Linked DNA regions of Cricetulus griseus. The protein of the gene in region 1 purifies or fractionates together with the protein of each later gene. This does not show direct contact. Links are inferred from orthologs where the notes say so. Each region holds a gene or a part of one and is shown in the gene's direction. Other genes may lie near its edges. The genes, in order: Tspyl1, Ddx24 and Zmynd8.

The links.
Region 2: the proteins of Tspyl1 (region 1) and Ddx24 purify together in Homo sapiens (affinity purification with mass spectrometry; 3 studies listed by BioGRID and IntAct, counting the BioPlex papers as one, with this or other methods). This does not show direct contact. The link is inferred for Cricetulus griseus from reciprocal best matches to the Homo sapiens genes TSPYL1 and DDX24.
Region 3: the proteins of Tspyl1 (region 1) and Zmynd8 purify together in Homo sapiens (affinity purification with mass spectrometry; 4 studies listed by BioGRID and IntAct, counting the BioPlex papers as one, with this or other methods). This does not show direct contact. The link is inferred for Cricetulus griseus from reciprocal best matches to the Homo sapiens genes TSPYL1 and ZMYND8.

Annotation. Positions count from the first base shown.
Region 1 is NC_048595.1:257,678,323-257,682,906, forward strand, and holds Tspyl1 (testis-specific Y-encoded-like protein 1), read left to right. Parts: upstream 1-1,657; 5' UTR 1,658-1,762; coding exon 1,763-2,830; 3' UTR 2,831-4,266; downstream 4,267-4,584.
Region 2 is NC_048598.1:102,656,913-102,661,515, forward strand, and holds the start of Ddx24 (ATP-dependent RNA helicase DDX24), read left to right. Parts: upstream 1-1,549; 5' UTR 1,550-1,661; intron 1,662-3,015; 5' UTR 3,016-3,020; coding exon 3,021-3,747; intron 3,748-4,603. UniProt on the Homo sapiens protein: ATP-dependent RNA helicase that plays a role in various aspects of RNA metabolism including pre-mRNA splicing and is thereby involved in different biological processes such as cell cycle regulation or innate immunity.
Region 3 is NC_048599.1:13,607,137-13,610,950, forward strand, and holds part of Zmynd8 (protein kinase C-binding protein 1), read left to right. Parts: intron 1-1,308; coding exon 1,309-1,818; intron 1,819-3,814. UniProt on the Homo sapiens protein: Chromatin reader that recognizes dual histone modifications such as histone H3.1 dimethylated at 'Lys-36' and histone H4 acetylated at 'Lys-16' (H3.1K36me2-H4K16ac) and histone H3 methylated at 'Lys-4' and histone H4 acetylated at 'Lys-14' (H3K4me1-H3K14ac).

The DNA of each region.
Region 1 (4,584 bases):
AGAGATGCTTAAGAAACACATAACACAAATGACAGCACATTAGACAGCACAAACATTAGACAGGACAAACCGCGGCAAAGAAATGGTGCCCCAAACCAAAATTACAACCAAACCTTGGACTTTCATCCAGGGTGGAACCAAGGGTCTCACAAGTCTGCTTACCCTATGGTTCAATTACAAATTCTGCGCAGATCAAATACAAATTACAAATTCTTCGCAGATCAAATCAAGCAACCCTCGGACTTTCATCCAGGGCAGGACTTCAGGGTCTTCCCCAGAAGTCCGAATTACAAATACAAATTCTGCGCAGATCAAATACAAATCATGGCACCAAACCAACACAGCAAGAGACAAAACAAGAAACATAGAACATTGAACATATATAAATTGCGAGCTCTAATCATCTTACCTCCAAGATCGAATCCACTCAGGTGAAGGGTGGTCGCAAATCCAGGACGAGCCCCCAAAATGTTAGACCCCCGAAAACTCAAGTATCCGGGGTCTCAGGCCAGGTTCGCGGTCACCCCAATCACCAGGCGGATTCGAGAGCTTGCTGCAAACTGCACGAGGCTTTATTGTAATTTAACGAGCTAACCCCATGTTAGCTCGGGTCTTTTACCCACCCGCCATGGCGGACAGCTAGAAAAAGACGGCTCCTAAGGTCTCCCCAAAGATCTTATAGGGCAGCGTAAGGGGAGTGTCTAGGGGTACGCACAGGCTCATGATTGGTGTGCCTCCAGGCTTGGAGGGCTTGCCCTGTGTTGATTGGTCAACTGGTTGTTATGGCTCATAGGCCCTCCCAGGGTGGTTGCTATGCTCTCTACGTCATTGCTGTGCGCTTGTCCGTAAAGCACACCCAGGGTCGTAAAGCATAGCGCCACCAGCTAACTTCTGATTGGTTCCTTGTCACAAGACAGGCATCTGACCTCTAAGTGACCAAGGCAGGTATATGCCAAGCACATGTTCGGCTGTTATGGCTGCCAAAAGGGAAGCCGGTTCCTTCAAAAGGAACTGAATGTTCTGTGTTGATGTGTAAATTGTTAGTAGGTTTGTGGACGAGGTGGGGGGGGCACATGAATCAACTTGACATGGGCTATGCGTTTATGCTTTTGTGTGACAGTGAGGTCACATCCTGTTCAGAGACCACCAGAGACCAATCTCTTGGGCTCTGATCTGCCATTCTCTATGGGATTTGGTGAGCGGCTCAGTTTCTGCCCGCCTCAGCTCCACGGGGGGGGGGGGTAAAATGGATGTGGTGTTTATCCAGTGAGAGCAATCATTAGTTACAACCGCAAACATCCTCCAGAAAACAGCAATTCCTCCACAAGCTCACAGAGCCTTGTCCCCCAGGAACGTCGGGGGCTAGAAGTGAATTGTGTTTTTACTATTGTTTCGAGACGACCGCGGCTCCCCGGGTAGCCCAGGTTAGCCCAGAGGGTCGGCAGTTTTCGCTCCTGGCTTTTTCGGAGGCCAGGAGGTATTTTTACCTTTGCACGTAACCGGAAAGCGGATGCACTTGTCGGCCGACCTTGGGCAGTCGGCAGTGTAAAGGACCGTGCGGCCGCCGAGAAGCCTGCAAAGTCCTGCAAGGACGTCCGCCTACCATGACCGCCCAGCCGGGCGCCGCAAACTCTCGCGAGAGTCGCGGGCTGCGGCTCTGACGTCACCGCCCCGGAGACGGGGAAGGGGCGTAGCGGGAGCTGCGTGGGCTCACTCGGAGGGGAGACGCGTGTGCCTCGAGGGTGACGCGGCCGGACCCGACATGGACGGCCCGCAGCGGGACGAGGGGACCCCTGTGCCCCGCAGCCGCGGCCTGCGCGAGGCTGACAGTGTCCCGGCGAGCTCGGCGCCCGGGGCGACAGGTGAGGGCCGCGCGCGGACCGCGGCCAGCCCGGCGTCCCCGGGTGTCGTGGGGCCTGAGCCCCGGGTGCGGGTGACAGCCGCCGGGCGGGGAGCGGCTCCGCCTCCCGCCGAGGGTCCCGCGTCGGTGGCTCCGGAAGAAACTCGGGGCGCAGAGATCGAGGCCGCCGGCGTGGGGGCCGAGCAGGGTGCGGTCGCGGTAGCCGCTGAAGACGAGCCGTGTCCAGTGGCGGCGGAAGGAGAGGAGGCGGCGATGGAGGAGGAGCGGCAGCCCGCGGGTGAGGACATGGAGATGCTAGAGGAGGAGGCCGGGCCCTGGCATCTGGGCATCAATCTCCGCATGAACCCCCTGGAGGCCATCCAGCAGGAACTGGACACTGTGAACGCTCAGGCCGACAGGGCCTTCCAACATCTGGAACAGAAGTTTGGGCGGATGCGGCGACACTACCTGGAACGGAGGAACTACATCATTCAGAACATCCCAGGCTTCTGGATGACTGCCTTCCGGAACCACCCGCAGCTGTCCTCCATGATTAGGGGTCAGGATGCAGAGATGCTAAGGTACGTCACCAACCTAGAGGTGAAGGAACTCAGACACCCGAAGACTGGCTGCAAATTCAAGTTCTTCTTTCGAAGGAACCCCTACTTCCGAAACAAGCTGATCGTCAAGGAATATGAAGTTCGATCATCCGGTCGAGTGGTGTCCCTTTCCACTCCAATCGTATGGCGGAGGGGACATGAGCCTCAGTCCTTCATTCGCAGAAACCAGAACCTCATCTGCAGCTTCTTCACCTGGTTTTCAGACCACAGCCTTCCAGAATCCGACAGAATTGCTGAGATCATCAAAGAGGACCTGTGGCCAAACCCACTGCAATACTACCTGTCACGTGACGGAATCCGCAGACCCAGACGTCGCCCAGTAAGAGAGCCAGTGGAGATTCCCAGGCCCTTTGGCTTCCAGTCAGGCTAACCTCTGCCTTTGAAAATACAGCTGGAGCAGGCCTCTTCTCACCTGTGCTTGAGCAAAGGCAACGGTATGCAGTGTTCTTGGTGTTTCTTTCCTTGTGGCTTCTGCATCTGCTGTTTGAATAGTCTCTCTTGCCCTCAAGATGAAGACTGTGGACATGCTGCTGCTGTCATATGACCTCTACGCTGTTCTGTATTAGTGTCTGCTGCCTCGTCGTGGTTCAGACCCTTTCTAAGCTTAACACGCGATCCTGAAGATCACACTGCTTTTACAGTGCTTGGACCCTGTTGTTTTCAGTCTGTTAGCTATTTGCTGCCACCTTTGTCTAGGGAGCCCGTTCTATTTACCTGTTGAGCATGTGGCAGTATGGACATCAAGTTTGCAGACAATTGCTGGGAATTAATGATATTGCGGGAGAACAGAAGTGGGCCACCTTCTGTGTGGTTTTTGTGACTCTTTCTGCACCACCTTCTAATACTGCTTGCTGTTGCATATACCAAGCTCCATTGGCGCTTGTCAAGGTTCCTCACCCTCTTCCACCTTCTTGTTATTTTAAATAAAAAGAAGTAGTTCCGGAACATCTGCAAGATCAGCATTTGTAGTCCATTTAGACTGGTAGCATTTCCAGAGAGGATGCTCTGCCAGAGAGGCTGCAGAACTCTGGCTGCCTCTTCTCTTTTTCCCAACCCCCCAGCCAGGTTAACAAGGCCTAACAGGATAATAGAGAGATGGAGCTAGGTGGAAACAGGTGAGATCTTCCTTATAATGTATGGAAGAACTAAAGAGATTGTGATGGGTACCCTAAGCAGGGAAAGTGAACTGAAATGGATTAGGACCAGATTAAGTCAGATAAAAATTGGGCTGAAGATGAAGACAAGGTTGACTAAGAGCTTTCAAGTCCAATGGTGATGTAAAGAGAAATACTTTCTCAGGATTGCAACAGAAAAATTATAGGGAGTTTTGAGTACTAAATGTTGCCTAGATAATGGTTCTTTAAAGAAATGGTACAAGTTTGGGTTATTTTCTTCTTTTTATATGTGACCTGATGTATCTGAAAGAGTAATATTGTGCCCATATTTTACCAACATTTAGTAAAATGCTACTTGTTTCTATTTACTAGGAAAGTTAAATTACTTTCTTTTGCATTTATTTGAAACCATTTGGAAGAACAATAGTCTTGACACTATTGAGACAAATGAGTATTCATGAAAATTTTCAATGTTAATCTAAATTCTTAGAAACGTAGTTTAGATAATTTGGTCTTTATCAAGTTTGTCCAATTACTGTTGTCATGGAAAAATAGATATGTGACTTGATATTCTTGGTAGCCTCTTAAATTACACAATAGTTGTAAAAGTGCTCTGTCATATTAGAACTGTACTATGAAGATATTTGTTGCCCTTTATATGTAAGATGGTGAATAAAAGCATAGCACTCTCTTCGATGTTTTATTTTTCACCCTGACCATTAAGTGCCTTAATAGGTTTGTATAATTGACAAGATTATGGAATTACAAAATTTCTTAAATGGACACAACATTATCCCAGAGGTCTGACAAGAGAGCGCAATACTGTATCTTCCAGGATACAAGCATAGTTGCTACTGTCATTGATTTGTTGTGTTAAAATGTTGACAGTTAACAAGTGCTTACTGAGATGTCAACTTTTTTCCACAAAATTTGTGCAGCACCACCAAACCCCTCACTTCCTTGGGAGTCATAATTTCTGTTGACGTCCATGGCTCCTGATGACACCAGA
Region 2 (4,603 bases), on another chromosome or scaffold:
ATAGATGGTGTCCCTTAGATTGTTTTCTGTCCTGACTGATGCTTAACTCTCTCTCTCTCTCTCTCTCTCTCTCTCTCTCTCTCTCTCTCTCTCTCTCTCTCTCTCTCTCTCTCTTCCTCCCTACTTCCCTCCCCCCTCGCCATACCATGCTGGCTTCAAATTCAGGACTCTACCTGCCTTTGTCTCTCTAGTGCTGTGTTAAAGACAGAGATGCATGGCGACAAATGTGTTTTTCTAATACAAAAATATTAAAGTGGTGGGTAAATGAAAAAGTAAGGCATAAAAATGGAAGGAAAAGACACGACTGCCCCTAGGCACGCTGGAGGAGAAAGTTTATTGCAGATATGTGTGACAGCATAGTCAGAGGTATGGATATCTGGGAGAGTCCAGAGTGGACATGACCAGGCTGAGCTGGTCCCTGTGGGAAGAGGGCAGGAAAGGGAGAGAGGAACTAGGTGCACCAGCCAGGAGGTCAAAGGTACAAAATGGTAGGTAACTAAAATGTCTGGATTATACAGGTTAGAGCCTGTGGGGGAAGGGCAGCCCAGCCCTTGGGCTGGAGAGTTCATGGTAGAGGGTGGAGTATGCTAGTTATACCCGTTAATGGATGGGGACTGAGAGAGGCTGGGCGAGCCTGGCTGCCCGGTCTGCTGTGATAGGACAGCCTTTTGTCCTGGGTATGAGATCTAATACCTATAAAACCTGTTGGAGGCCGGGTGGTGCACGCCTTTAATCCCAGCACTCGGGAGGCAGAGGCAGGCGGATCTCTTTGAGTTCGAGACCAGCCTGGTCTACAAGAACTAGTTCCAGGACAGCCTCCAAAGCCACAGAGAAACCCTGTCTCGAAAAAACAAAAAACCAAAAAAAAAAAAAAAAAAAAAAAAAGCCAACCAAACAAACAAACAAAAAAAACCTGTTGGAGGACAGGCTTTTAGAATGCTGCCCTTCCCAGGTTCAATAGCTTTTGGAAAATGTCACAATGTACACTGTGGGGACTGCTTTAGTGTTGAGGCTGAGAACTTCCACCCTCTCCAGTGAGACTCCCTCAGCACCCAGAGATGTAGGAACAACTTTAGTTGTTGATGCTTAAAAACATGCAGACTAGAACAGAAACAACTCATGGTTTATAGAGGGTTAGGCATCGCCGTAACCTTAGGGAATCTTTTTCATTATTTTTCATTAACGTTAAAGTCTTCGTATCGGGCTCTAAAACTTGCGTTCGGGACTGGCCGCTCCGTCTTCACCAGCCTTGCGCTCAAGGGAACTGGGAGAACACAGCACTTTCAGTGCAGGCGTGGTTGTGCTGTGAATCAGGCAAGAAAAGGCATCAAAGCTAACAGTAGGTACTCAATACCTTGCAAGGGCTCCCGCACCCAAACTAGATCAAGATGACGCGAACACTCGCGCTCCCTAGCGTCCAGGAACGAGCTCCAAGAAGCAGCCTACGTGATAAACAGGAAGAGACCCAGAGCCAACCCCAGGCCTTTTCCGCTCCCGCCCACGTCCTGAAACAATGCCAATCAGACAGCTATGGAGGCGGTACTTCCTTCTGTGGCGCGCACGCGTGCCTGAAGTCCCGCCCCGGAACTGCAGATGCAGGCTGCTGCAGTTCCGGGTCGGGGTGTCGCAGGCGTCGCCGAGTGTGTGAGAGATCGCTGGCGGTGAGTACTCTCGGCGAGTGCGGTGCGGAGCGATGCCGTGGCCTTTTGCGGACGCGCTCCCGGTGCTCCCGCAGCATCGCGTGTCACGGGTGACCCCACTGCCCTGGTTCCTGGCTTCCCCACGCCTGAGGGCCCGCAGGCAGGCGTCAGGGCCCAGTCACCTCCCTTGAAGGGCTCGTGCGGTCGTTGTGTCCGAGGGAGTCTTGCAAGCGGCGCAGGGCCTCTCCCGCGTCCCATTTTCAGTGACAGCCCCTTCGGCTTGTCGGTGCGGTGGGGCCGTGGTGTGGTCGGTGCCCGGGACGGCTGGGGGAGCCTTGCCTGCGAGTCAGCGTGCCTCTCTACACGGGCGCCATGCTAAGCGGGTTTTGACATGCGTCATCATGTCGTATTCAAGCGAGGACCCAGTGGGATAAATATCTCATTGTCCTAACGTTGTAGTCGGGGAAACTGAGCCTCAGAGGTGGCAAGTGTTGGCTCTAGATGTTAATCGAGAATATAATTGTATAATTTTACCTTGTGCTTTCCACAGTGTCTATTCTTTCATGTAGAGAGGACGGTGTGGAGCCACTGCCACTCAAATAAGTCATGCATAATCCGACCCCCTTTAAAGACAAGGGTCTCATGTAGCCGAGGCTGGCTTTGAACTCCTGATCTTCCTATCTCCTTTTCCCGAATGCTGGCTACCCACTAAGCATGGTTTTTAAGCAGTGCTGGGCGTGGAACCCAGGTCTTCATTCACTCTAGGGTAACAAACTGAGCTGCATCTCCCGCTAGCTCTAGATCACTTAAAGTGTAACTAGACAGCTGTGTTGGAGTGGAGATGGCATTGCCTTTTCTAACAGGGAAGAGAGCTCAGTGCAGTTGTAGTAAAGAACACTCCATCCCCTAACACAGAACTGAAAAAAGCATCTCAGGTTCTTACTCCATCTCAGAAATGGCTCATGTAGGGTAGGCTTCCCTCTGGCACCTCTCTTGATACTTTCAATTATTTGTGTACAGCATAAAAGCAGGTATTATCATGCCCCTCTCCTTTTAGAGGATTAAGACACTAAATTCTGAGACAAGTAAGTAGTATTGTTGAAGTTGTATTTAGTGTTGGAGCTGGGATCCTGACACGTGTTAGCTCATGGATCTTTACTTCATTGCCTGTGTTCCCTCTGCTCCAAGGCGAACTAACCTATTCTGTGGGTGTTTGTGTTTCATTTTCTGGCTGGGAGCATCTTCTGTGTGTTAAACCATTTTCAGGTCTTCTGTCATTTGCAGGGTCAAATGCATTTTAGGTTCTTTGGGATGAGGGTGTTGCCATAGAACCTATGCTTGACAGACACTAACGTAAAAGAACGTCTCTTTTCAGCAACCATGAAGTTAAAGGAGACAAAATCAAGGCCAAAGCCACCGAGCCGTGGCACATTTCAGACAAGGGGCTTCAAAGTCGTGGGGAAATGGAAGCAGGTGAAGATCGATCCAAATCTGTTTGCGGATGCACAGATGGATGGCTTGGTGTGCTTTGAGGAACTCACAGATTACCGTTTAGTCTCTGCTGCTGAGAATCCCTCTGGTTTCTTCTCAAATGAGGAGCCAAAGAAGAGAAAGGCCCAAGCTGTTTCAGAAGAGGAGGAGGAGGGAGAGGAGGAGGGAGAGTCTAGCTCCCCCCAAAAAAAGATCAAATTGAAGAAACAGAAAGATGCGCTAGTGGCTGCTGAAGGAAGTACAGCCCAGGATGAAGTCAAAGATTCTGAGCCAGAGACTCAGGCATATGTCACTGCTTGTTCTGATAGACAGGTAGGAGAAGCAGCATCGGAAAACCTGGCACAGGCTGTTCCAAAAAAGAAGAAAAACAAAGGGAAAAAAAAATTAAGCCCTTCCCAGAGCACTGTCTCTAAAGTGCCCAAAAAAGCAAAGACATGGATGCCTGAAGTGCAGGACCAGAAGGCAGATGTGTCAGCATGGAGGGACCTGTTTGTGCCCAAGGCGGTTCTCCGAGCACTCAGCTTTCTGGGCTTCTCTGCACCCACCCCAATCCAAGCTCTGACCTTGCCCCCAGCCATCCGTGACAAACTGGACATCCTAGGAGCTGCTGAGACAGGTAAGGGCTGTCCTGTCTGTCCCAGGCAGGAGAGCTTTTGCATCCAGTCTTTGGTTGCCTCATAGGCTGGAAAACTGGAGGAGGGGAGTGTTGAGCACAGGGCCACAAAAACCGTGTTGAATGGTGATGGTGTTGAGAAAGCATCCAGCTCTGGGTTGCAGTCTAACCCTGCCTGACTTTGGTATCCTTGCTTTATCTCTGTGAAGCATGTGAGTCAGATGGAGATGACAACACTACTTAACCCCTTGCAGTCAGGTTGAGAGTTTTCTCTTACTGAGGAGTTTTTAAAAATCAAGAATGGATGTTAGATTTTTTTTTTTGTACCAAATGTTCTTCTTGCACATATTTAGGTATGTGGGTTTTTGTTTTTAGTTGTTGATAGCAATGAATTATGTTCATTTTTTCAAAAATGAAATCTAAACATTCCTGAGAAACAGTGAACTTGATCACAATGTGCTGGTTATATCTTGGATTTGGTCAAGTGTGAATATGAAATTAGAATATTCATCTATAGTTTTTTTTTTTGTAATGATATTGTCTGGTGTTAATGTTGACAATGACATTGGCCTCAATAACTTGTGAAGTGTTTTCAGTTATCTGAAATAGTTTTAAATCATTGATGTTTTTTTCACCCTTAAATATTTGTTAGAATTCATCTGGGCTTTCTCTTCTTTCTAGGCAGGTTTGTAAGTATAGATTTAGGTTTTAAAACCCATTAGAGGTTTTGTTTTTTTGTTTTGTTTTGTTTTGTTTTTTTTATTCTTTTTTTCCCCCCTGAGTGATCATTTCCATTTAAAATTCTATCCAGTTTTTTGTTTGCTTGTTTGTTTCATGTAGCTGACAGTCTGTTTTCAGG
Region 3 (3,814 bases), on another chromosome or scaffold:
CCGGGCGTTGGTGGTGCACGCCTTTAATCCCAGCACTCGGGAGGCAGAGGCAGGCGGATCTCTGTGAGTTCGAGGCCAGCCTGGTCTCCAGAATGAGTGCCAGGATAGGCTCCAAAGCTACACAGAGAAACCCTGTCTCGAAAAAAAAAAAAAAAAAAAAAAGAGTGGGTCATTTTCCCAAGGTCCCACAGATAACAGTTCCTGTGCCCTGTGCTGAATGCTTGCCTACCGCTAATACACGCCTCTGACTGCACCTTCGTTTCAGACCTCATGTTTTCATGGTTGTTGGACCCTGGGGAGTCCAATACTGTTCCCCAGCAACTTTGCTGACCAACTGCCTGTGTCTTGGCTCTTCATGGCTCTTGCCCTTCCTGAGTTTTTCTTTGATGTGTCCAGGCCATTGCACTGGAGTGAAGGCAGTATGAAGAATTGACATGGTTTTCATTCTTTTGGGTTTATTTGTTCTTATTTGCCTACTGCCTGAGCTGGAAGCATACATGTACCTTGTGTGTGTGTGTGACACCTGCTATTCTGTCTCCTTTGATGAGCATAGACAGGTGTAGTTTTCTCTTGCCCCTTGGCAGCGGAAGGACAATGCATTCACATGAGCACCTGAGGCTCTGCAGGCGCACAGGGGGCCAGCTAGAAGGCTGGGCTCCAGGTTATCTGGACACCTGCCTCCACTTAAGGGGTGCAGCAGATTCCACCCTTGCCTGTCTGCTGCTTGCTGCTCGCAGATCCCACAGAGGGTGGTTCCCATGCTGTGTGCACAGAGCCACTACCTTGAGGCCTATGAGAAATTTTTTGGTTGTGACTTGGGTAGAGAATTCTAATTAAAACAAAACAAAAAGACAATGCATACAGGTAAGCCAGTGCTGCCCAGATGGTTAAGTATAAGGGAAGATATACATGGGCCGAGCAGTGGCTGCCATGCTAAGGCTCTGGCCTTCTGGAGCCCTAGACACAGGCAGAAGCCTGCCTGTTCACACTTGGGTGGAGTGCTGGGTCAGGAGCCTAGGCTTCTTGTTTGGTACCCAGTAGATTTAATTTGTGCGTAGACAAGGGCTTCTCTGGGCCCTTATTTTAATGGCTCCCCCATCTCCTCATCAGTCAGTGCTGCAGACTTGACATAAACCTGGCAGTCCGTAGGTCTGTCCTGTCCCTGCTTTTCTTGGATCTTGATTGTACCCCCATGCCCCCTTTCTAGCTGTCCCCATTAAGATGGGGATGCCACTTGAAGGGTGGGAGTGTGTATCCCTCCTGTCTTTCTTGCATAGCTAAGCTGTGCTGGTTTCTTTTTGTCCTTAGGCATAAATGAGATCTCAGAAGATGTTTACACAGCCGTGGAGCACAGTGATTCGGAGGATTCCGAAAAGTCAGAAAGCAGCGACAGTGAGTATGTCAGCGATGAGGAACAAAAGCCCAAGAATGAGCCAGAGGAACCTGAAGACAAAGAGGGGAGTCGGGTGGACAAAGAGGCCCCCGGTATAAAAAAAAAGCCAAAACCTGCAAACCCGGTAGAAGTCAAAGAGGAAGTGAAAAGTAACTCTCCAGCCAGTGAGAAGGCAGACCCTACACCCGCCAAGGACAAGGCAAGCCCGGAGCCTGAGAAGGACTCAGTAGAGAAAGCAAAGCCATCTCCTCACCCCACAAAGGACAAACTGAAGGGAAAAGATGACACGGATTCCCCCACAGTGCATTTGGGCTTGGACTCCGATTCAGAGAGTGAACTTGTCATAGATTTAGGAGAAGATCCTTCTGGGCGGGAGGGTCGCAAAAACAAGAAGGAGCCCAAGGTGCCCTCACCTAAGCAGGACGGTAAGCTACACACACAGCCTGTAGACTGTAAATTTTGTTTGGTGTTGATCAGACTCAGGACCTTGTGCTCTACCACTGAGCTATTACACCTGGTATTTGTGCGATTGCCAAGCCCAGTGTGACAGGGAGTGTCTCGGCCCCCAGCTTCTACAGTGGGAGCCATGGCCTGCACATGGGCCTGCTTGATCCTCAGCACAGAAAAGTTCCACGGTCACTGGTAGCTGCTTCTTATAAAGTTGATTTTGGCCTTAGGTCTGCCTGCTTAAGGTTTTACGTGGTTGAATTGGACCTGGAATTATATAGCCAAGGATGGCTTTGGATTCTCCCACCTCTACCTCCCTTGTGACAGACCACTATATACATACACACACACACAACTGAGCTACATGCCCCCTCCAGTAAACTTCCTTTTTAATATTCAGACATTTGGGTGGGGCTCAGGGATCAAGGGCTCTCTGAGTAGAAAGATCTAGAGGAAGCTTCCCCTTCTCTTGTGCCCTGCACGGGCAGATATATTTTCCTACTAGAAGTAGAATCCATTAGGGGTTGTGGGGCATTGAAAATGGAAGAGACCTTGGTCAGCACCCTCTGGGCAAGATAGTCTGTCCTATGTGCATTGAATGTACCTGAACCAATTCTTTGTCCCTTTCAGTGAAAGTGGTCTAGGTGCAACTCTGGCCTTTAGCCACTAGATGGCAGGAGCACTTGCCTATCAAACATGCCTGTCCCTTTTAGGCAAAGCCTTCCGCCCTGAGGATCACCTGAATCTTTTCAGGCTTGTTGCTATTGTGATGAGCAGTCTGGGCCAGCACCGTCGGCAGTGGGCATGCTGGCGACTTCCCCAGAAGGAGTTGAGTAACAGCAAGTTTTTGGCTGGCCAGAGGACTCCAACGTCATTCAGCTAGGGCCCTGGAATGACTTAAGTACATGGTACAGGGTAGCCTTCAAGCTGGGTGTACTTGGTGAGGTACAGAGGGGTGTCATTTTGCACTGTGCTTAGTTTCTAACAGGAGCCAACTTCTCATCGTAACCCAGGAGTAAGGTATGACCATGTCCCCCACATTCTTGTAGCCTGGTGGCCTAAGGCAAGTCTTTGCTGTGCCCTGAGAGCCTTTTCCCTGTGGGGTGCCCACCTGAGGAGTCTGGAACCTCAGCTCTTAATCGAGACAGATTTCTGTGACCAAGGAAGAAGAAATGAGATACCTGTGCTGGGGAGGGGGTGAGGTGGAGAGGGCAGGGGATGTTCAAGCTGCCGCTTAGGCCAGTTGAAGGCATCAGAGTGCCGCCTGGGGTAGAATGGAGGTAGAGAAGTGCACACACCTGTAACTTCCTCCGTGTGAGGCTCACACTCCTGTGATGCTTAGAATCTCCCATTCTTTCTGATAGAGGCTTTTTGTGCTTGTGTGTGTGTGTGTGTGTGTGTGTGTGGGCCGAAGGATAACTCATGTCATTATTCATGGTGGCAACTTTCTTTACCCACTGAGTCACCTTGCCAGCCCCCAAACACATCTTGATTGACTTACTGTTTGCTCTGGCTTTGGGGAAATGTTTTATATACAAATAAATACTAAGGTAGGCATGATAATGCACTTGGAGGTAGAGACCAGTGAATAAGGAGCTCAAGGTCAGCCTCGGCTTCTTCAGACCCTGTCTCAAACAGAACAGACCAAAGAAAACCCAGACTGTCCCAACTTCGGGGCAATCACAGACAAGAGTTTCCATTGCAGTTGTGAGCTTCTTAGCAGGGAAAGCAAAAAGAGAAGCATGGTTCCTTAACAGAGATCAGATTTTTTTTTCAGAAAATCAAAAGCATTCTTGCAGAGCTATTCCTGGTTTTGATGTCTGAAGGAAACTCCCGCAGACCCAGAAAACCCTAAGTGGATGGTAGAAAATTGAGTTAAAGATGGTTCTAGAACACAACACAATCAAGAGTAACTTTCCAAGGGTTGAGGCAAAACTTACTTCTGTCAACTAGAGTCCCCAAGATGCCCCTTGA